Linked DNA regions of Schizosaccharomyces pombe. The gene in region 1 interacts genetically with each later gene. Each region holds a gene or a part of one and is shown on either strand. Other genes may lie near its edges.

The links.
Region 2: mutations in cdc45 (region 1) and mcm2 are lethal when combined (synthetic lethality), as found in Schizosaccharomyces pombe (2 studies listed by BioGRID, with this or other methods).
Region 3: mutations in cdc45 (region 1) and chk1 impair growth when combined (synthetic growth defect), as found in Schizosaccharomyces pombe (2 studies listed by BioGRID).
Region 4: mutations in cdc45 (region 1) and cbp1 impair growth when combined (synthetic growth defect), as found in Schizosaccharomyces pombe (one study listed by BioGRID).

Annotation. Positions count from the first base shown.
Region 1 is NC_003424.3:4,722,992-4,727,406, forward strand, and holds cdc45 (DNA replication pre-initiation complex subunit Cdc45), read left to right. Parts: upstream 1-1,780; 5' UTR 1,781-1,811; coding exon 1,812-3,431; intron 3,432-3,472; coding exon 3,473-3,769; 3' UTR 3,770-3,855; downstream 3,856-4,415. Other genes in the region: pex7 (peroxin-7), read left to right, coding at 27-57, 385-517, 647-1,409; Golgi zinc importer, CDF family, Cis4, read right to left, coding at 3,869-4,415. UniProt on the Schizosaccharomyces pombe protein: Required for initiation of chromosomal DNA replication. May have a role in regulating the MCM proteins nda1 and nda4.
Region 2 is NC_003423.3:1,190,487-1,195,936, reverse strand, and holds mcm2 (MCM complex subunit Mcm2), read left to right. Parts: upstream 1-1,794; 5' UTR 1,795-1,828; coding exon 1,829-2,061; exon of another isoform or gene 2,062-2,280; coding exon 2,281-4,540; 3' UTR 4,541-4,729; downstream 4,730-5,450. Other genes in the region: ubiquitin protein ligase E3 component mlo2, read right to left, coding at 594-1,583; COPII-coated vesicle-associated protein Sfb3, read left to right, coding at 5,125-5,450. UniProt on the Schizosaccharomyces pombe protein: Acts as a component of the mcm2-7 complex (mcm complex) which is the putative replicative helicase essential for 'once per cell cycle' DNA replication initiation and elongation in eukaryotic cells.
Region 3 is NC_003421.2:1,057,809-1,065,084, forward strand, and holds chk1 (protein kinase Chk1), read left to right. Parts: upstream 1-1,987; 5' UTR 1,988-2,211; coding exon 2,212-2,279; intron 2,280-2,324; coding exon 2,325-2,566; exon of another isoform or gene 2,567-2,612; coding exon 2,613-3,041; exon of another isoform or gene 3,042-3,079; coding exon 3,080-3,287; exon of another isoform or gene 3,288-3,333; coding exon 3,334-3,523; intron 3,524-3,568; coding exon 3,569-3,865; exon of another isoform or gene 3,866-3,910; coding exon 3,911-3,967; 3' UTR 3,968-4,176; coding exon of another isoform or gene 4,177-6,387; 3' UTR 6,388-6,635; downstream 6,636-7,276. Other genes in the region: gid1 (putative Ran GTPase binding protein), read right to left, coding at 1-72, 117-381; ubiquitin-conjugating enzyme E2-C Ubc11, read right to left, coding at 1,082-1,163, 1,214-1,449, 1,619-1,708, 1,759-1,786, 1,835-1,929; protein Meu27, read right to left, coding at 4,177-6,387.
Region 4 is NC_003423.3:3,509,912-3,514,531, reverse strand, and holds cbp1 (ARS-binding protein Cbp1), read left to right. Parts: upstream 1-2,161; 5' UTR 2,162-2,192; coding exon 2,193-3,761; 3' UTR 3,762-4,105; downstream 4,106-4,620. UniProt on the Schizosaccharomyces pombe protein: Binds, preferentially, to the Maundrell ARS consensus sequence within ARS3002.

The DNA.
Region 1 (4,415 bases):
GGCAACGTGCTTGTGTTTATTTGCCCATGCTGTCATTGAGGACTCCTGGGTTTCAAGGTAAGCTAAATAAAGGGAAGCGAAGCAAGACAAAATATTATATGGTACTAGTACTAGCGATAGTACAACTGCTTGAGAAAAATACAAATAAAATGAACGAATATTACCGAACTATAACTAAACTAAATTCAAATGATGTAGAAATACGAAATTTTGTTATTACTGAATATTTTCTTTATTTTGTTTATATTTTATTTTATTTTGTTTTGTTTTGTTTTGTTTCCTTTTAATTTTCCTTCCTTTTTATTGGAAAAAAAAAAAGAAAACAAAACAAAATAAATATCTTGGAATGCATAATTGTACATCGTTACTAACAATATTCGCTAGGTGAAAGTGTTCAATTCTCTCCACTTGTCGAAAACAAGATCGCTGTTGCAGCTGTCACCCATTATGGATTAGGCGGAAGCGGACGTCTTTATATTCATGATGTTACGCCAAAAGGAATTCAAGTTTGCCAACAGTAAGTAATTGTGCGATTACTGCTCTTCATTATTAGACTTTTGCACAAAACACTTTTAACCATTAGTTATTATGATGAAAACAGTCTCTAAATCCTACGAAATGAAATTTATCTAACGTTAAATACTAGCTATGATGTCGAGGATTCTTTGTTTGGTGTGCGCTGGTCTCAGAATTGTGAAAATCAAGTCTACGCTTGCTGTGGTGATGGTTCTTTGAGACTATTTGATTTGACTATGCCCTCTAAGCCCATCCATAAATGGAAAGAGCATAAAGCGGAGATTGTCGCAATAGACACAAATACGGTTGATCGAAGAATTGTAGTTACGGGCTCCTGGGATGGGACTATCAAATTATGGTTAGGCAATTTGCCTAACAGTGTGCAGACGCTCAACAATGGTTCGAATTCAAGGATTCTTACAGTTGCTACACATTATAGCTCTCCAAATTTACTCGGGTATACATCAAGTGATGGATTATGCAAATTTTGGGATTTCCGGTCTTCCGATAAATTTATGTCCATTGAAATACCGAATCAAATTACTTGCATGAATTGGAGCAAGTCTAATCATCGTATGGTTTACACGGCCGACAATAACAATCTGGTTTACTGTTACGATATCGCGAATTTAAAGACGCCTCTGTCCGTATTGTCTGGTCACCAACTTGCTGTTCGAAGTATAAAATCGTCCAATTCCGCCCATGATCTTTTGGCTACAGCAAGTTACGATATGACTTCTCGAATTTTTGACCCGGAACAGCACTCTTGCATAAGAAAAGTTGATTTGCATTCTGAATTTGTCCGTGATGTTGATTGGAGTGATTTCGGCGATGGATCTTGGATTGCAAGTGTTGGTTGGGACGAATCTTTGTATATATGGAACGCATTTTAAGTTGCTGCTGTTTTTAATTTAAGATTTTATTACACTGATTCAAAGACGAAATGTTCGAACGCTCGGAATAAATTCGTTGTGCACATGTTCACCTTGGATTATATCACCAGAAAACAGCGATTACAAATTATTTTTACGATAGTTTAGGTAGCTCAAGTGAAAAATTTAGTAACTAGAGTAATTATAATATGATTTTTGGCATTTGGCATAAAATGAGAAAGGGTTGTTTGCAATGCCTACAAAAATTTCTTTTTTTTGTAACTACTATTGCGTAGCTTTGACTTGTATATTAATGCGCTATTGTTTAGGAAATATAAAGCGACTCAAAGTGCTTTACCTTCCTTTGTACTGACCACCTGGTAATTTCCTCCATGATCCACCACCAGTAACGTTTATTTATTAATGTTCATCAAGAGATCCGATTACGCCTCTGCTTACTTGAAAATTAAAGAAGCAAGTGTATCTGGTGGATGCACAGTTCAGCTCTTTGTTGCTTTAGACCCAGACGCGCTTTGTGCATGCAAGCTATTGTCCACACTTTTGAAAGGCGATTTTATTTCACATAAAATTAGGCCTGTATCGGGCTATCGAGACCTTGAACAAGCAAATAAAACTTTGCTAGAGCAAAATGAAGATATCAAATTCATTATACTTTTGAATTGTGGAACGATGGTGGATCTAAATAATTATCTTGTTTCTATGGAAGACGTATCTATCTATGTAATTGATTCTCATAGGCCGCATAATCTAAATAATATATACATTGAAAACAATATTTTTGTTTTCGACGATGGAGATATTGAAGAAGACATGAATAAAATTCATGATGCTTGGTATGCATTTAATTCGCATGAGCTATCAGATGAAGAAAATTCCGATTCCAGTAATGAGCGAGAGGAGGAAGTCGAAGATGACAACCGATCTGTGGAATCTTACAGCTCATCCGATTATCAAGCACGAAGTCGTAGGCGTTTTTCAGAGGAAACGACGCAACGTCGAGCTGAAATTAAGGAGAAAAGGAAAAAACGGAAAGAGTTCGCCTCTATCCTTTCTGAATATTATGAGAAAGGAAGTTGGTACGGCGAGTCAATTACCAATATCCTGTTTGCAGTAGCATCCATGCTTGGACGTGAGGATAATGACATGTTGTGGTTAGCGATTGTTGGGCTCACCTGCTTGGAAATTCACTGCCAATCCTCAAAAAAATACTTCAATAGGTCCTATTCTTTATTGAAAGATGAAGTCAATCGCTTGAACCCTTCACCACTTGAAAATCAAATAGTCGGTCGCGCACATGGTAAGACACCCCATGATCAGTCAATTCGGCTTGAAGATGAATTTCGTTTTATGCTAGTAAGACATTGGAGTCTTTATGATTCTATGCTTCATTCTGCTTACGTTGGTTCGAGACTTCACATTTGGAGCGAGGAAGGACGCAAACGACTACATAAGCTTCTTGCAAAAATGGGACTCAGTCTGGTGGAGTGTAAACAAACTTATATTCACATGAACATGGATTTAAAAAAAACTTTGAAAAGTAGTCTTAAAAGATTTGCACCGTTTTATGGTTTAGACGATGTGATATTCCATAGTTTTACTCGGACTTATGGATTCAAATGTACACTTAGTGCAAGTGACGTTTCTTATGCTATCAGTGCATTATTAGAAATGGGTAATACAGGTGTTTTGCTTCAAAGCAAAACTGTCGCTCGAAGCCCGGATATGACGGAGGAAGAATATTTGGAGAAGTTTGAAAATGCTCAAAATCAAGAATGGTTGCACAATTTTTATGATGCATACGACGCCTTGGACGATGTCGATTCATTAGAAAGAGCATTGAAGTTAGCAATGCACTTACAAAGAGCCATTGTTCGTACTGGAATCACCTTACTTGAAAAAAGAGCCATTAAAACGTTGAGATCTTTTCGTTTTGGACTTATCAACGAAGGACCAGATCTGAAAATATTTATGCATCCCCTTGCGTTAACAAAGATGAGTCTTTGGATTGCTGAAGCTATTAATGTAAGTGTCTATTGATTTTAACGTTTGACTAACACTTGAAGGAGCAAGAACGAGAATTTGGAAAGCTTAGACATCTTCCTCTTGTTTTAGCAGCTTTTGTAGAGGAAAAAAATAGGTACTTAATAGTTGGAACTTCTACTTCCGCTTTTACTAGCAATGAAGATGACGATGATGACGACGGTCATGGACACAATCGTTTTGGAGTTGCATTTCAAGAGGTTGCAAACATGACATCTGCTACTTTGCAAATGGACTGTTTTGAAGCAAGTGTGATTGAGTGTCAAAAAAGTGACCTCGGGGTTTTTTTAGAAAGTCTGTCCTTCAAAACACTATTATAAAGATTGGGTAAATAATGGGAATTTTGCTAATAAAGAAAATATTAATTCATCTAATTAAAATTACACGTAAATAAGTATGGATATCAACTGATGTAAGAACTATTTTCCACACCAGCAATTGTTTGGCCGTTCAGATTGTATACAAATGTGTTTTAAATTTGGTACAGCGATTGAGAGCTTCCTAAATACTTCATTACGAACCACGTTTAAATCACCGTCTATGCTCACCTGAATATGGAGTATTCCATACACTTCACCTCTTTCGTTTGTCCAGAACTTAGGGTTGGATAAACTGATAACGGAGTTACTTAAACTGATGTTCGACAAACACTGCTTCAATAAATATTCCGATTCTGGATCAGTCACAGAGAGCAAATTCTTCGCCGAATCTTTAATTAATGGAAGTACAGAAACAAATATTAATGCAGCAATTATTAGAGATGCCAAAGGATCAAAACCGGTCCATGAAAACCACTGTATTAATATAGTAGAGACAATAACTCCAACAGAGCCCATAGTATCTGCGATAATATGCAGAAATATGCCATGCATATTATGATTTTCATGGTGATGATGACAGTGATGATCATTGTCTAAATTCTGGAGACTTATGCTTTCATGGTCGCATTTTTCATTGTATTTATGG
Region 2 (5,450 bases), on another chromosome or scaffold:
AGCTCATATAAAATATGAATTACTGAATATTAACGAAACGACACTATTTGAAAATTAGTTTTGTTTATGAAAAGAAAACAATAAAATATAAAGTTAATTCAATCTTAAAAAACTGTTAGGAAAAAATTAAAATGAAAGTCATTATGAGATATAACAAAAAAAAAATACCCAGACAGGGTTTCTCTTTAGCTTTCTCAATCAAAAATAAAAGATAAAAGACGCAACCACCAAAACTATAGATAGGTTTAAAAATTTTAATGAGTGCAGTTAAAATAGGAGAGACAAGAAAGCTAGAAGTTCAATATATTAATTATTGTTCAAATATACATACAAATTTGTCATCATCATTAAAATCATGTATACCAACAAGCCCCAGTAAGCCTCTCAAATTAACCATCTCTGTTAAGAAAATCAATTAAACCATTTTTGATAGAGAAATGATTACGTTTAACCATAAGCACATAGAAAATATCTCTGGTTTCACCAGTATAAACAGCGTTTCACAAAAAGCATCACCAGATTAAGTATAACCTACATGTTTTGACGTTAAATTATACGCCAAAAAAGAAGGGAATTCAAAAAAGTTATTAACGCTACCGTAAATTTTTACTGATTCGAGATCGCTCCAAGAAAAAATTTGATATATCTTCCTTGGTGACAACCCTATTTTCACGAGCAAATGGAGTGAGGAAGTCCGTTAGCTCAGATTTTAAGCGATTATACGCATAAACGCTTTCGTTAGCTTGTACACGAGGAAGTCTGTCCAAAATACGAAGGACATCATTCATTGTGCTAGATATGACTTGCTCAATCATTTCTCCAGATTCACTGGGATCCTCATTCATCTCACTGATTCCATCCTCAGAATCCTCAGGAGGTTCGTAAATAGGTTCTTCTGCCACCAACATTGGCATCTCCAAATTACGCAAACTGATGCAAGATTCACAAGGGCACAAATTTTCCCTAAAGTTTTCTGAAAGAAATAGAGGCGCTCGTTCTGTACCAGCTATGCTTTCATGCTTCTGGTTTAAAAGATGATCGCGGTATTTTTCTGAACATTCTGAACACACCAACCATTCAAAAGTCTCAGCATCTGGGATTGCAATTCCTTTATTAGTTTTCTGCAGACACTTTTCGTGAAACCAATCTTCGCAAAGGATGCATTGAAACATAGTTCCTTCCTCTGTCTCTGGATTATACACCGTATCACATATGCAAAATCGCCCTTCGAAATTATGATTATAATCATTTTCTGAGCCACATTCATCAACGGATTTCCGTAAATTACAAGGTATGGAGTGGGTTCTTGTGGTGCCACAATCACATCGAAAATGTCGTTTATTGAATAGGTCCACAAGATCATGGTCAGCATGGCAGCTAATACTGCAGCTATAGCAAACAGCATTTAAGCTTCCGCTAGCTTTTTGACATGTCAAACAAGCGTATAAAGGTTGCTTCAAATAGCCCATCGAATAAGTGCACGTGTCAAAGCTGTAAGGCAAAACTTCTCGTGCCTCCCTTTCAAGCTCCCTTTGCTGTTCAACATATTGCTTAACCGTTAATTCATGAGCCGTTTCCTCCATAAGTTATTAAATGCAACTAAACGTTGGCAAATAGACGGCGTAAACAATTGCGAAGAATGTCTTTTGAATAATTCAAAACACTAACTCATTACGCTCCTCTATTTCATTTACAGGTATCACTACATTTTCCAATACAATTTAACAATATACTGTAGCATTTCTTATTCTTTCATCCTGCAATACTCTAGCTATTCAATGCATTAAAATAGTTAGAAACAACATCTTTAAAGTATTTGAGTCCAAAGATGGATTCTTTTCGGAAAAGGGGTCGCCGCGATTCTGAAAGTTTACCTTTTGAATCAGAAAATTCTTCTCTCGGTGCTACACCTCTTTCTTTACCTCCTTCTTCACCTCCTCCAGAATTCTCTGATGAAGCTGCAGAAGCTCTCGTGGAGGAGGATATTGAGGATCTGGACGGAGAAGCTTTAGATGTAGAGGATGAAGAAGGTGAAGATTTGTTCGGAGAAGGAATGGAACGGTAAGTTTTATAGCTATGCTTGAGACGTGTCTTGTCAATGTTGTGTATACTAAGTGTTGCCATCAATATATAAATTACATACTATTTCTTCTCCTTCTTGTAAATAAATATATTTATTGGATTCCTAGGTTGCGGTTATATTGACAGAACAAATCTTGATTTTCAAAAGAGTAGTTTCACATTTCGCGTCAAATAAGGTACTTTTTTCTAACTGTATAGTGATTATCAACAAAATTTGGAGCTAGATCGTTATGACATTGAAGAACTAGATGACGATAACGATCTTGAAGAATTAGATATCGGGGCCCGAAGAGCTGTTGATGCCAGGTTGAGACGACGTGATATTGAGCTCGATGCTGCTGCAGGTAGAACAAAACCTGCTGCATTTTTACAAGATGAAGATGATGATTTGGACTCCAATCTTGGCACAGGCTTCACTCGTCATCGACATCGAATTTACGACGAATATTCACCTAATGTTGGCGCATTGGACGAATCTGGTGAACTTCCTCTTGAATCAATTGCCGACGTAAAGGCCGATAGTATTGCCGAATGGGTTACTCTTGATCCTGTTCGGCGTACAATTGCTCGAGAATTCAAAAATTTCCTTCTTGAATATACAGATGAAAATGGCACCTCTGTATACGGTAACCGTATTCGCACATTGGGTGAGGTTAATGCTGAGTCGTTGATGGTTAATTATGCCCATCTTGGTGAATCTAAACCCATTTTGGCTTATTTCTTGGCCAATGCGCCTGCACCTATTTTTCGCATATTTGATCGTGTTGCTTTGGAAGCCACTCTTTTGCATTATCCAGACTATGAAAGAATACACTCTGATATTCATGTTCGTATCACTAATCTTCCTACTTGTTTTACTTTACGCGATCTACGACAATCCCATCTTAATTGCCTTGTACGGGTATCTGGTGTCGTAACTAGGCGCACTGGGCTTTTTCCACAATTAAAATACATTCGGTTTACATGTACCAAATGTGGTGCTACTTTGGGTCCATTTTTTCAAGACTCTAGCGTTGAAGTAAAAATTTCTTTCTGTCACAACTGTTCCAGCCGTGGTCCGTTTGTAATCAACTCTGAACGGACTGTATATAATAACTATCAAAGGATCACTTTACAAGAATCACCTGGCACCGTCCCCTCAGGTAGACTGCCTCGACACCGTGAAGTTATTCTTTTAGCGGACTTGGTTGATGTTGCCAAACCAGGCGAAGAGATTGATGTTACTGGCATATACCGCAATAACTTCGATGCTAGTCTGAATACCAAAAACGGGTTTCCTGTCTTCGCTACAATTATAGAAGCAAATCACATATCGCAACTTGACGGCAGTGGTAATACTGATGATGATTTCTCTTTAAGTCGGCTTACTGATGATGAGGAAAGGGAAATTCGGGCATTAGCAAAGTCGCCTGATATTCACAACAGAATTATTGCATCGATGGCGCCTTCTATTTATGGACATCGCTCTATCAAAACTGCTATTGCTGCTGCTTTATTCGGTGGTGTCCCCAAAAATATTAACGGTAAGCATAAAATTAGAGGTGATATCAATGTTTTATTGTTGGGAGATCCAGGAACCGCCAAATCTCAATTTCTTAAGTATGTTGAAAAAACGGCACATAGGGCTGTCTTCGCCACAGGTCAGGGTGCCAGTGCTGTTGGTCTAACTGCATCCGTCCGTAAAGACCCCATTACGAATGAATGGACTTTGGAAGGGGGTGCTTTGGTTTTAGCAGATAAAGGTGTTTGTTTGATTGACGAGTTCGATAAAATGAATGATCAGGATCGTACTTCTATTCACGAAGCCATGGAACAACAAAGTATTTCTATTTCTAAGGCGGGTATTGTGACTACCTTGCAGGCGAGGTGCACTATTATTGCTGCCGCTAATCCCATCGGTGGACGTTATAACACTACAATTCCTTTTAATCAAAATGTTGAGCTGACCGAACCTATTTTATCTCGTTTTGACATCCTTCAGGTCGTCAAAGACACGGTTAATCCTGAAATTGATGAACAGCTAGCTAATTTTGTTGTATCAAGTCATATTCGATCTCATCCTGCATTTGATCCGAATATGGATGTCTTGAAGAAAGTCCCTACTGAGACTGGTATTGATGCCAAACCCATTCCCCAAGATCTTCTTCGTAAATATATCCATTTCGCTCGTGAAAAAGTTTTTCCTCGATTACAGCAAATGGATGAAGAAAAGATTTCGAGACTTTATAGCGATATGAGACGCGAGTCACTGGCTACTGGAAGTTATCCTATTACTGTGCGTCATCTGGAGTCTGCTATCCGTTTAAGTGAAGCATTTGCAAAAATGCAGCTCAGTGAGTTTGTGCGCCCTTCACATATAGACAAAGCCATTCAAGTGATTATTGATTCCTTTGTGAATGCCCAAAAAATGAGTGTTAAACGAAGTTTGTCAAGAACATTTGCTAAATATCTTATTTAATTTTTTGACACAATCAGTTTATGGAGTCCAGTGATTTTGATTTCCCCGTTCTTTGACCCTCCTTTTGTTACTGCATCTGTTGCATATATCTATCCTTTAATAATTTGCAATCAAAATTTGCTTTACATTTTTATACCTATCTTTACATTCATTCTTTCTTAGTTTTCAAAATGTCAATCTAAATTATTTAGGTTAATAACACTTGTTTTGAATATCATTATTGACTATTCGCTATAGATACTAGGTGTATAGATACTTTCTCCGCTGTATCAATATTATTAGCTGTTTCATTAAAGAGCCACTGCCCATGTGAAATGACATTTTTTGAAACAGCTGAGGTTTTTTACATATAGAGCTAAATTGTCCATTTCCAAATTTAAAGGGAAGTCAACTTTTGACAATCGGAAATGCATCCAGTTCATATCTGATGTTCCTGAAGAATCTCAAATTTCACACTTTATTATCTAAAATTATTTATATCGTGTTACTCTTTCAAATCAGTCTTTTTATTTGGTATATATTTTGCCCTACCCTTACCTACTTATATTCGTACATCCACCAAGTAAACTTGACACAAAAACAAAATGGCCTATCCCGGGCAGTTTGGAAATTACGGTAATCCTGAGACTTATAGGCAAAATGTTGCTGGCAATATTGCTTCATATGGGGGCCCTGAAATTGACACTCAGTTAGCTGCTCAAATGAACGCACAAATGTATATACAGCAAGGTAGTGCAATGGCTCCACAACCCCGACGCGCTAGAAGACATAAAGATGCCCATGCATATGATATGTCATTGACAGATGCTGAACCAGCTTTGGCTCCTGTCATGTCGCCTGCTATCCCGCCTTCCATGAATTATCCTACGCCAAGTACACCCTCAGTACTTCCAGAATCTTTTTCTAATGA
Region 3 (7,276 bases), on another chromosome or scaffold:
TAGAAGTGTTTGATGGAATTGCATGATCAGCTTTTACAGACGCCGCATCATGTTCAGTGCCGGCTTCAGGACCTATTAAAGATTAGTTATAAACCATTATAATTAATACAACGAACCAAAGAAATAAACCCCCATGTTGTTATTCATCAATTCTAATGAATCTGACTTATCGTTGGGATTCCATGAAGATGGAATGGCTTTCGGCGTATTTGTTACATTGCCCTCCCTTGTCATGTCAAACTCTCGTAAATACTTCTCCCATTTCAGCCATCGTGGGTCACTTCTAAGCACATTTTCTCCGTAATTGGTTCCTTGTAAATACAAGGGGAGATTGTCGAAGTTAATCGGCTGTTTTTCAAGATTCTTTGGTGTACTAGTCATTCGCAGGTATGCTCTTGGTAGCATATAAACAGCCAGTTTTAGTAGCTTATTCAGCTATCAGTTTAAATGTTCAATTTTCTAATCAGTTTTTCTTTTGTAATTAAATACAAATCTTTTGTAATAATAATTGGTAAAACTCTTAAATTTTTAAATGACGTGTAAATTTCAGCAACTCTATAAAATGCTCTGAGACTGAAAAGATACTTCACTATACGGCTTCATAAGGATTAAAGGCTCAAAATTAGAAATACAAATATTAGGCTGTATATACAGTCCTATTACTAATCAGAAAAAAATTCAGGCACAACATAACATTGATACTTGTCTTGCGATAATACATAACACAATGACATTGAGAATCAATAATAATAAAATAGTATTATAATCTAACGGAAAGCTAAAAAAACGACTGCATTAACGGAATGCATTAAACAAGAATAGCTTTAATCGAGCATCATAATAACAACTTCAACTTCTGGAACTAAATAATGATAGACGGTCCTTAAAAAACCATTCGGTGGTTTTCAGGAGGTTGTGGCATTGCATGAAGGAATTGCTTAATCGATGAGATGAAATAATTTCAACTTCCATTATCAATGAAGAAAGTTTAACTAAAGACATTTTTTCAAGCATTGAATAGGAAAAGAAAATCCATATGACTAAACAGAAATGAAAATGAGTATGAAATAGACCGGCCTAACTAAATTTCATCGATTTCTTTATATCTCTGCATTAAAAGACGTTTGTACTCGATAGGGTCTTTACTCCACAATTCTGCAGCTCTAAGAATTGTTAATAATCAAAAAAGGTAAATGAGATATTTTCAACATACTGAGCATTCAAGGGAGAAGCATTGTTTGGCTCACCCAGCAGACTTTGTAGAGATAACAAAATTGTCTGTACGTTATAGACTGCTGACCATTTATCTTTTAAAATGTCTAAACATATGTTTCCACTCATATCGACATTGGGGTGCCACATTGGTGAAGTAAAAATGATAGTTGGAGGGGAATATGGGTAATTAGCTGGAAATGACATTGAAATTTTAAATTTCAATCCTTCATAGTACTATTTTCGTTACGTTAGTCGTATGAAAAAGAAGAAAGAAGAGTAGACAGTTATGAAAATGTAATGACAAAGATGTGTATTAATTTTCCATTAAAGTGCAGCTACAAGTAAGCACACCAAGCATTATTCATATACTTTAAATATTAAGCTTTCAAAATAAAAGTCATACCGTATCGCTTGGGCCGGTAATTGTGCCAGCCCAATGTAGCAGGTTAGAATCAGAATCTGGAAACGCACTAATTCCAGGAGTATTGGACATCTAGTCATAAAACCCTAGTTAATAACAAAGTAAAAAAGCTTATTACAAACCATTAAACTCATTAATTCGCTTCTCAATCTACAAATGCATTAGAGACTTTTTTCCTAAAAACTGTTTATTTTTTACCGTTTTGTAACGCTATGACCGTCAACAGCCATGCCAGCAGAAGAAGAGTTTTTAGAATTAGTATGAGGGTTCTGGTTTTGCATATCAGAATCCATTCCTCAAGTTGTTACTGTAGTTTCTCAATGAGTACGTGGTGGTAGGAGAGTAAGTTATAAACACAACACAACATGTGCTAATGTACACAAGTAAACGAAAACCGGATATCAAATTATAGTCCAATTTTATATCATTATATAGATTTAAAACTCATTTAAAAATTACCTTAATTTAATCTTTTCCAGTCTTTGATGATGTTAAGACTGTAAATAATACACATGCCAAAATTTGCAACATATGCTTGTGTTATATTATAATCTTCTTTCCCTTTACACCAAAGAATGGCTCAAAAATTAGATAACTTTCCTTACCATATTGGTAGAGAAATAGGTACTGGGGCTTTTGCTTCGTATGAATTTTGATTTGAAAAATACTATATACTAACTTAAGCAAGCGTCCGTTTATGTTACGATGATAATGCTAAAATATATGCTGTCAAATTTGTCAATAAAAAACATGCTACTAGTTGTATGAATGCAGGGGTATGGGCTAGAAGGATGGCTAGTGAAATACAACTTCACAAACTATGCAATGGACATAAAAATATCATTCATTTTTATAATACAGCAGAAAATCCCCAATGGAGATGGGTAGTACTTGAATTTGCTCAAGGTGGTGACTTATTTGACAAAATAGGTGGGTGCATGAACCTTTCGTTTTTACTAACGGACTTACAATTTAGAGCCTGATGTAGGTATTGATGAGGACGTCGCTCAGTTTTATTTTGCTCAACTTATGGAAGGTATTTCCTTCATGCACTCTAAAGGTGTCGCGCATCGAGACTTGAAACCTGAGAACATCCTTTTAGATTACAATGGTAACTTAAAGATTTCAGACTTCGGCTTTGCATCTTTATTTTCCTATAAAGGTAAAAGTAGGCTTTTGAATAGTCCAGTGGGTAGTCCACCATACGCTGCTCCAGAAATTACACAGCAGTATGATGGTTCAAAAGTTGATGTCTGGTCCTGCGGTATAATTCTTTTTGCTTTGTTATTAGGCAACACACCTTGGGATGAAGCAATTAGCAACACTGGTGACTACTTGCTTTATAAAAAACAATGTGAACGCCCGTCTTACCACCCATGGAACTTGTTGTCTCCAGGAGCCTATTGTAAGTCCTGACTGAAATTCCTTTAAACTAATGATCAGCGATTATCACCGGAATGCTTCGAAGTGATCCATTTAAGCGCTACTCTGTCAAACATGTTGTACAGCACCCATGGCTTACCTCAAGTACACCATTTCGAACTAAAAATGGGAATTGTGCCGATCCTGTAGCATTGGCATCAAGGCTCATGTTGAAACTTCGTATTGATTTAGATAAACCACGTCTTGCCTCATCTAGAGCATCTCAAAAGTAAGATCTTGCACAGTTGTTTCATATTTCTAACTCTTTCAATTAGCGATAGCGGTTTTTCAATGACACAGCCAGCTTTTAAAAAAAATGACCAAAAGGAGTTGGATCGTGTAGAAGTTTATGGCGCCTTATCCCAGCCAGTACAACTTAATAAAAATATTGACGTTACTGAAATCCTTGAAAAAGACCCCTCATTGAGTCAGTTTTGTGAGAATGAAGGTTTTATTAAAAGATTGGTATTATTTATTTAAACCTAAATTTTTTCTAACTATATGAAAAAGGCCAAAAAGGCTAAGAATTTCTACGAAATTTGTCCTCCTGAAAGACTCACTAGGTTTTATTCTAGGGCGTCGAGAGAAACCATTATAGATCATCTTTATGACAGTCTACGACTACTTGCAATCTCAGTGACTATGAAATATGTTCGAAATCAGACCATCCTTTATGTTAATTTACATGATAAACGGAAATGTCTCTTGCAAGGTGTTATTGAACTAACTAATTTAGGCCATAACTTAGAGCTTATAAACTTTATAAAGCGTAATGGGGATCCTCTTGAATGGAGAAAATTTTTTAAAGTATGTCTTTATCATAGGGATTTCATATACTAATCCATGTGAAAGAACGTTGTCAGTTCAATAGGGAAGCCGATTGTTCTTACAGATGTTTCACAAAATTAATTGCACATCTTTTGAAAGGTCGTGCCAGTTCGTTTGTAAAAGAAACCTGTTGTTTGACTTCGTTGTGAATTTATTTTCAATTTTGTGGTAGTACAAATGATATCCTAGGGAATAGGATTATTAACGCTTTGTCAAGCAAATATCAATGGTTGCGAATGCTGAAGATATATTATTAGCATAAGGATAGTTCTTCCGACTGGCCATGCCGTTTAATACATCATTGTACCCAATATTCTTTTCTCACAATTCTTTCTTCTTTTTCTCTTTTTTAGTGAGATATCTGACGGCTCATTTGATTTTAAAAGGGATAACTCTTCTGAAATAACTCTTTCAAACGATTCTAAAAGGTCTTCATTTTCTTGGTCGGAGTATAAAAACTCATCTTCTTTACAAAATAGTAAAAGGTTCTTTTTTGTGAATTCTTGTCTCTCTTTGGCTTCCAGGTAAGCATGCAAAGGAAAATGTGACATCGATGAACCAGTACTTATCAATGTAGTTATCCATAAAATATCGTCTGGAGTCTCTGCAGACATTAACATGTCTTCTCTTGTAGCCTCATCTACTTTTAAAAACTTCTTTCCGTGAAGTACTTCGGGAAGCTCTAAGAAACAGTTAAAGCCCTCACACACGATATGTAGCCAGCGATGATTTTCAGTAACAACGTATATATCCGAAGATTCAATTAAATGCATCCGGATGTCTCCTATTCTCTTTTCGGCTGCTACTTTGTGAACAGGTGTTAGTTCTCCTAAACTCACCTTTTCATTCACTAGTCGTTCTAATGCTTTCCATAGATATGTTTGGTGAGCAGGAGGATAAAGATCATATAGCATTAGCTGATGAGTTAATACCTTGATGTCCATTATCCCTTTAGACAACTTTAAGTGAAGCCTTTTAATACAGCTGTTCTTGTTTACAAGTGATAGCATATTTTCAAGGCAGCTATTAGTTATTTGAGGTTTCACTAATGTTTTTGATGTTCCATTTTTAGTATCGAAGACATTCATCAAGTTTTTATCTTCGTGCTCAAAGATGGTAATAGTTACTGTAGGTGGAAAAAAGGCTTTACTCTTGAATTGAACATCTTCGATACATATATCTAGGTTATCACAAAAGAAGTTTACCCAAGGAATTTCAGTAGAGCACATGTCTGATACTTGGGCAAATTTGCAAAAGCTTGGGGTAATAACCTTTTGGTCACTGAAAAGAAACTTTGTGCATTGCTGTGACAAGTCGAGGACCCTTTCATTATCTTTTTTTTCTTTTATTGTAGCCTGTTCGTTTCTAGAGCTTTTGGATTCGAGTACACTTTCATATTTCAATTCAGAATCATATATTGGCGATACTTCACTGGAAGCGATGAGGTCGGAATATATAATCTGTGTTTCTTCTAGGTCGGGAAATTCGGTAAAATCTTTTACTCCTTCTATTATGGCTTGTTCATTTTCAAAGCACTTAGATTCGAGTATATTTTCAATTGCTAATTCAGAATCATATATCGGCGATATTTCACTTAAAGTCGTGGATTCGGGATATAAAATCTGTGAAGATAGTGATAAGTCAGAAAGCTCAGAGCTCTGTTTTATATCTTTTAATTCAGCATTTTCTGAGTGGTTCGGTTTGTGGGTACCTTTAGGTGCTGATTTGGAATTATTAATTGGCGCCAATTTGCTCAAGGTTGTAAATCTACAGCTTAGAAGCTGTGGATACCGAGGCTTAAATATATCTTTATCTCCCGTATTGCTTTCTTTCAATAGTGCCCTCTTCGGTTGAGTTAAATGCGAAAATGCCTTTGTTGCTTTTATTGCGGATGTAACCTGACTAATGGAAGAATTTTCGTTAAATTTTTCAGGTTTTGTTTGGTATTTACGAGCTGCCAAATGTAATTTGATGTTACTATTCGTTGAAGATGATATTGATTCCTTTTTATTGTATGCAGCATTCCAGTATTGGGATAAACTTTTAAACGGCGAGCTATTAATAGTTGAAAGTTTCGTCTGGAGTTCTGATTCCATAAAAGAGGTGCCGCCCAATTGCAGTATACAAGCTATGAATGTTATTGGCTTGCTTACGCCGAGCTTGTCGAAAAGGTTATTAGCCTTTGAAGGATTTTGGTTTGAAGACTTATTTTCCTGTTGACTTAAGAAGCCTTCTTCATTTTTTTTTTTTAAAGTATAATTGTTCTCTATTGATTTTGGCTCAACTTGGGGTTCTAATGGCATTTCTGCCATGCTTTCATCGTTATCAGAACCCATACAGCAGAGAGGAGCGCAAATTTTTAGGATCTTTGATTTAAAACTTGTCCAAGAGCTACCAGAGCAGTGAGTATCACATCGGTTACTTTTTCCCTTTTCCTGTATTTTATCAGGACGAAAGGCACCTGATATTTTAATCTCTGGATAAGCAATTTTACTGTTCATTACGAAGTTACTTGGCTCTTTTGAGGCTTGAGTGATTGCCAGTTGGATAACTCAGTAATTAGAGATCGTGTTCAATCTCTTGAAGTGTATACAAAGGTTGGGTAAAACATGTTCAACCTTGGGTTATTTATATTAAAAAACAATTCATTTCGTTTATATTAACACATTGTTTTATCATAACTAATAATTTATGAAATCCCTCACAATAAACAAACATCGAATGATAATTTGATGCTCACCTAACATTTGCTTAAAAAAGTGTTAAGTAAACATTTAATATTACTAAAAGATGATCATTTAAAAATAAAAGCTTTCGCTAACCATTTGCATCCTGGATAAATAGCTCAAATAACAAAGGATTTAGATTAACTGAATAGTAATAATATCCTTAGCTAAGCCTTTGAACTAAGCCTAAATAAACAACACCAATTACTCACTATTTACAATGGATGTTTGACTTGTAACCAATAAGGAGGCAAGATTTACTAAAGACAACCAAGTATAATGTTGTAAACAAAAATAATAAACAAATCAACATTGCTGCAATTATACATTCGAAAAGAATCATTTAACGCAATTCTGAGTTAAAGGAAAATAATGTGTAAATAAACAAACGAAAAAGAGTGGAATACTAGCAACTGTAAATAAACAGAAGTTATTTTTTAGTGATCGAATTATATTGTATTTATGTTGTCAAAAGTTATTGATTCATGAATACCCCCGAAAATATCTTTCTGAAGTAAAAATTTCAGAAAATAGAAAGTGTTTTATTTTCGTTCGTATGTTAGTACGAATATCAAATTTCCAGTTTCATATTGCGTGACCAACACATTATTTATTAAAAATTTTGGACAAGCCAGAACTCGAATCTGGGACCTCTTCCATGCTA
Region 4 (4,620 bases), on another chromosome or scaffold:
CGATAAAGAAAATTTGACAACCAATCACTACCAAGTAAACAATGATCGACAAATATGGACACTTTTTGACTCCTTAATTGGCTAACCTAATGGCTGGTTTTATTGTTTACTGCTTGGATTTGCGTACTGTTTTGTTTACATTTAGGTAGCGGTTACCAGGTAGATTGGACGAGAGGTAGCAATCGACCGTTTATTGTGGCTTACCGCGTCGTTATACCGTAAACAACGCGCTGGATTCATTGTAAATAGCAACGAAGCGCTGTAAAAAGCCGACAAAACATTAGCATTTGTACACGCTCTCTACCTTCACGCCTTTGCTGCCAGGGTGCGTTTGAGACAGTTAGTTGCTAAGTAAAAAAATGCCAATTCGGCTGGATTGAACTCTAAATATTATTTATTTATTTATTTAATTCATATTGTTTCGGTAATGAATTTGGTAATGTTTACATGATTCTTCTCAACTCAATGTCGGAAACCAACATGTGACTTACCAATTTAACGATATCAACCCTTTTTATTTACTTCATCAGCAGGTCCTTAAAATGTATACTATTTCGATCTAATTTACCTCGTCACACTGCTGTGGCCGTTCAATTAGTGGGGCACAAGACATATCAAAAAAATAAATAAATAAATGAGAAAGAAAGGATTCGAAAAGAAAATTAAAAAAAAAAAAAGACTTTCTTTTTCATTGTCATCTGCTCTGCCACTAAGGAGTCCAAGCAGTTTTCTTCAGGATCCTACATAGAAAACCATACTTTTTGAATTCTGATTAAAACAACCCAATTTTCACTTCATCCTCTGCTATACCATGCTGCCGCTCAAAGGTTTGTCGCGCTAAGTCTGTTAACATTTACAAAGTCCAATTAACCGAGGTAGCATTTACCGAGTCGTTATTTACAAACGGGGATGAATAAGTAGTAATTAGACTGGCGTCATGTAGTATGAACATTCGCAAGTGAACTAGGACGAAAGATAAGGTATGCGACCGATACCTATCTACTTGAGGTTCTGTAAGTTAACTGCGCTCAAATTTCTTGATACACCGTTAATGAATATCTGATATCTTGATATTTTTATTTTACAATGGCTTGTGAAGATATGCTATTTTAACAACTGCAATGGTTTCGTTCTCTAGACCCGGATCTAATAACCGATTATCTGGCAATGTGCACCATCGGCATTTGGTAATATAGGTTGGCAATTAAGAATGGAGTGATAATGAGTTTGAGGCGTTTGAATGCTATTTTTTGAAGAAAATATGATTTCGGAAAATGGAATTAAATATGCATATCATTTAATATAATTTTATTAGCAAGTTGAATTTCCAAGGCGATAACTAACTGTCCGTTTGTAAGTGTAGAATGTTCGTTCATCTACTGTCTTCCATATATGTTCATGTTCTGTAGACTAGTATATATCCACGAAATAAAGAAAATTTATCAGTTAGTAAGTTACAGTAAAATTCATGATACCGTCAATTGTAAAAAAATATGTGAATTGCTACACAAATTGCTTTTTTTTAGATTGACTTGAATGCAATCCTAGCAAAAATTATTAGTTTTTACTGAAGAATATAAAAATTAAAAAAAAAAAAAAAAAAAAAGAGAATAAAAATAAATTTAAATACATCATTTATAGAGTTTGACCTTTTTTTTTAATATTTTATAGTAACCCCATCAATAATCAATTGTTACTACTTTTTCCATAATTTAGTCCCTTCGTCCCCTGAGCGGAATTATTTTTTTTTTAATTCCTTGTTCCATTTTTCCTTCATCGCACTATTATTGAGCAATTTTACGCAATTTCACAAATATACTAAATACAAAACTAACAATACTCTTACTGGTAATCCAGTTTATGTCGACCAAAAACTTTTATTTGGAAACCATGAAATAGCACCAGGAATAATTCATTTTTTTATACCACTGCAAAAAATTGGCCCAGATGAATTAGGAAAGCCAAACCTGGTACGACCATATGTTGATTTTTGAAGATGAAACTCACTATACTGTTTACCGCTGTTTGTTTCATCGCTTAACAGATATTAAGCTTAGATATTACGTTACGCTGTTCAGTATAATATTACGAACTCGTGACTGTTAGTGTCGTTTTATTAAGGCAAGAAACCTTTGCTCTGCTATCCTTATATTTTCACTTCAAGACATTAGAAATAATAAAGCTATCGAGTAATGGGAAAAATCAAAAGAAGAGCCATTACAGAACATGAAAAACGCGCTCTTAGGCACTACTTTTTTCAACTTCAAAACCGTTCCGGTCAACAAGATCTTATCGAATGGTTCCGTGAAAAGTTTGGCAAAGATATTTCACAGCCTTCCGTCTCTCAGATCTTATCCTCCAAATACTCGTATCTGGACAATACTGTAGAAAAACCATGGGACGTGAAACGTAACAGACCACCGAAATACCCTCTTTTAGAGGCCGCTTTATTTGAATGGCAAGTTCAACAGGGTGACGATGCTACACTTTCCGGTGAAACAATTAAGAGAGCCGCCGCTATTCTTTGGCACAAAATTCCCGAGTATCAAGATCAACCGGTTCCGAACTTTAGCAATGGATGGTTGGAAGGTTTCAGGAAGCGCCATATACTTCATGCAATTAATGAACAACCCACCGAGTCTGTGGTTTTGAATAATACGGAACCACCTAATGATCCTCTCTCTCGTGTTTACGATGTCACGCGATTAACGAATATTAATGATATCTTCACAATGCAAGAGACCGGTCTTTTTTGGAAATTGGTTCCAAATGGCACTCCCGAAGTCGAAGATATAAAAGGTATTACTCGATTCAAAGCTCGTATTACACTAACCGTGTGTTGTAATGCTTCGGGAACCGAACGTTTGCCTTTATGGGTTATTGGATACTCACAATCTCCCAGAGTGTTTCGGGCTGCTAATGTAAAACCCGAAGTAATGAATTTCAAATGGAGAAGTAATGGTAAGGCATCCATGACCACAGCTATAATGGAGGAATGGCTACGTTGGTTTGATGCGTGTATGGAAGGTCGCAAAGTCATACTTCTTATTGATAGCTATACTCCACATTTGCGTGCTGTTGAAAACATTCGAAACTCTGGTAATGACCTCAGAAATACAACTGTAATTACTTTACCATCTACTTCAGCCTCTATTTCCCAGCCTTGTAGTGAGGGTGTGATCTATGCTCTAAAAGCATGCTATCGCAAACACTGGGTTCAATATATATTGGAACAAAATGAGTTGGGACGCAATCCCTATAATACTACTAATGTTTTAAGAGCTATTTTATGGTTGGTGAAAGCATGGACGACAGACATATCACCAGAAATTATTGAAAATGCCTTCAATCTTTCCGGTGTTCTTGGTCTATTCAATGAATCTGCCGTTACCTCGCGTGCCTTGGATGAAATGATTCATCCACTTCGTGAGCTCGTCTCAGAGTTTTCTGTTCAAGCTGCTATGCGTATAGAGGATTTTATAAGTCCTTCAGAAGAGAATATTGTTGATTCCTCTGAGGATATAATCAATCAAATTGCTTCGCAGTACATGGATGATCGCGCTTTCGAGACGGACGAAGAAGAATCTACTGAATTCCAGATTACCACTAAAGACGCTATGAAGGCGATCGAGCTTTTGCTAAACTATGAAGCTCAACAACCCGATGGAAATCCTGCAATCACGATTAGTCTATTAAATTATCAGAAGCTCCTTGAGGCAAGGGGTGGTAACGTGAATCTTTCTCGTTTGAGAAGCACCTAATGTCTGTATTCGTTGTGCATATTTGACTTTTTTGTTTTTGGTTTGTATTTTAGTAGTTTTAATTTTCTTTTTGTTGAGTTTGGATCCCTTACCTAATGAGTAATTTGCTTTTATTCCTTCATTTTAACTTGTTGCTCTATTTTTAATACCCGATTGCAACTGATGAGCTTATTTGATTTTTCTTTGTTTTTATTTTAATTTTTTTAAAAAAACCTTTTCGAAGTTTCTTAAACGCAAAATCGCTATACGAGCTAATGAAATTGAATATTATACATTTTGTAATTCATGTCTCGCAATCAAGTGCTTTTAATATTGATACTATTTATCTTTAAAAATAAAAACCGGCTAAATGTAAGAAATTTTTTTTTTTTATTGAGGCATATTTGTTTTTTTAAGGTCGAGATTAGATTGTAAATAGTTGAACCGTAGGGGTTAGAGCTTCAAAAAATGATAAATTATTACTGTGAAACCCGAATTTAATCCATTTACGCATGATTGATTTTATAAAAATGTACTTCTCTTTTGCTAACTGCTTCGTACTGTAAATAAGCTTACTTTACAGTTAAGCATTACAAAGGTATATGATGTAATGATATAAGAAATAATCAATAACGAACTTTGATGTTATACGTAACATGAAATAACGATTTCTCTTCGAGACCTAGACTAACATGGCGATGTTCATAACTATGGCGAGTAAGCACATTTCTATTTCTACAAATAACTCAAATCCTTTGCTTGAACAATCAAGCGTGTTATAGCTTATTGGAATTTTTTAAGACTTTTTACAGCAAGAATCAGTAAAATCAGAGAAATTCGAATTGGCAAGTCTTCAAGGTTGTGTCCATTCGGAATATTT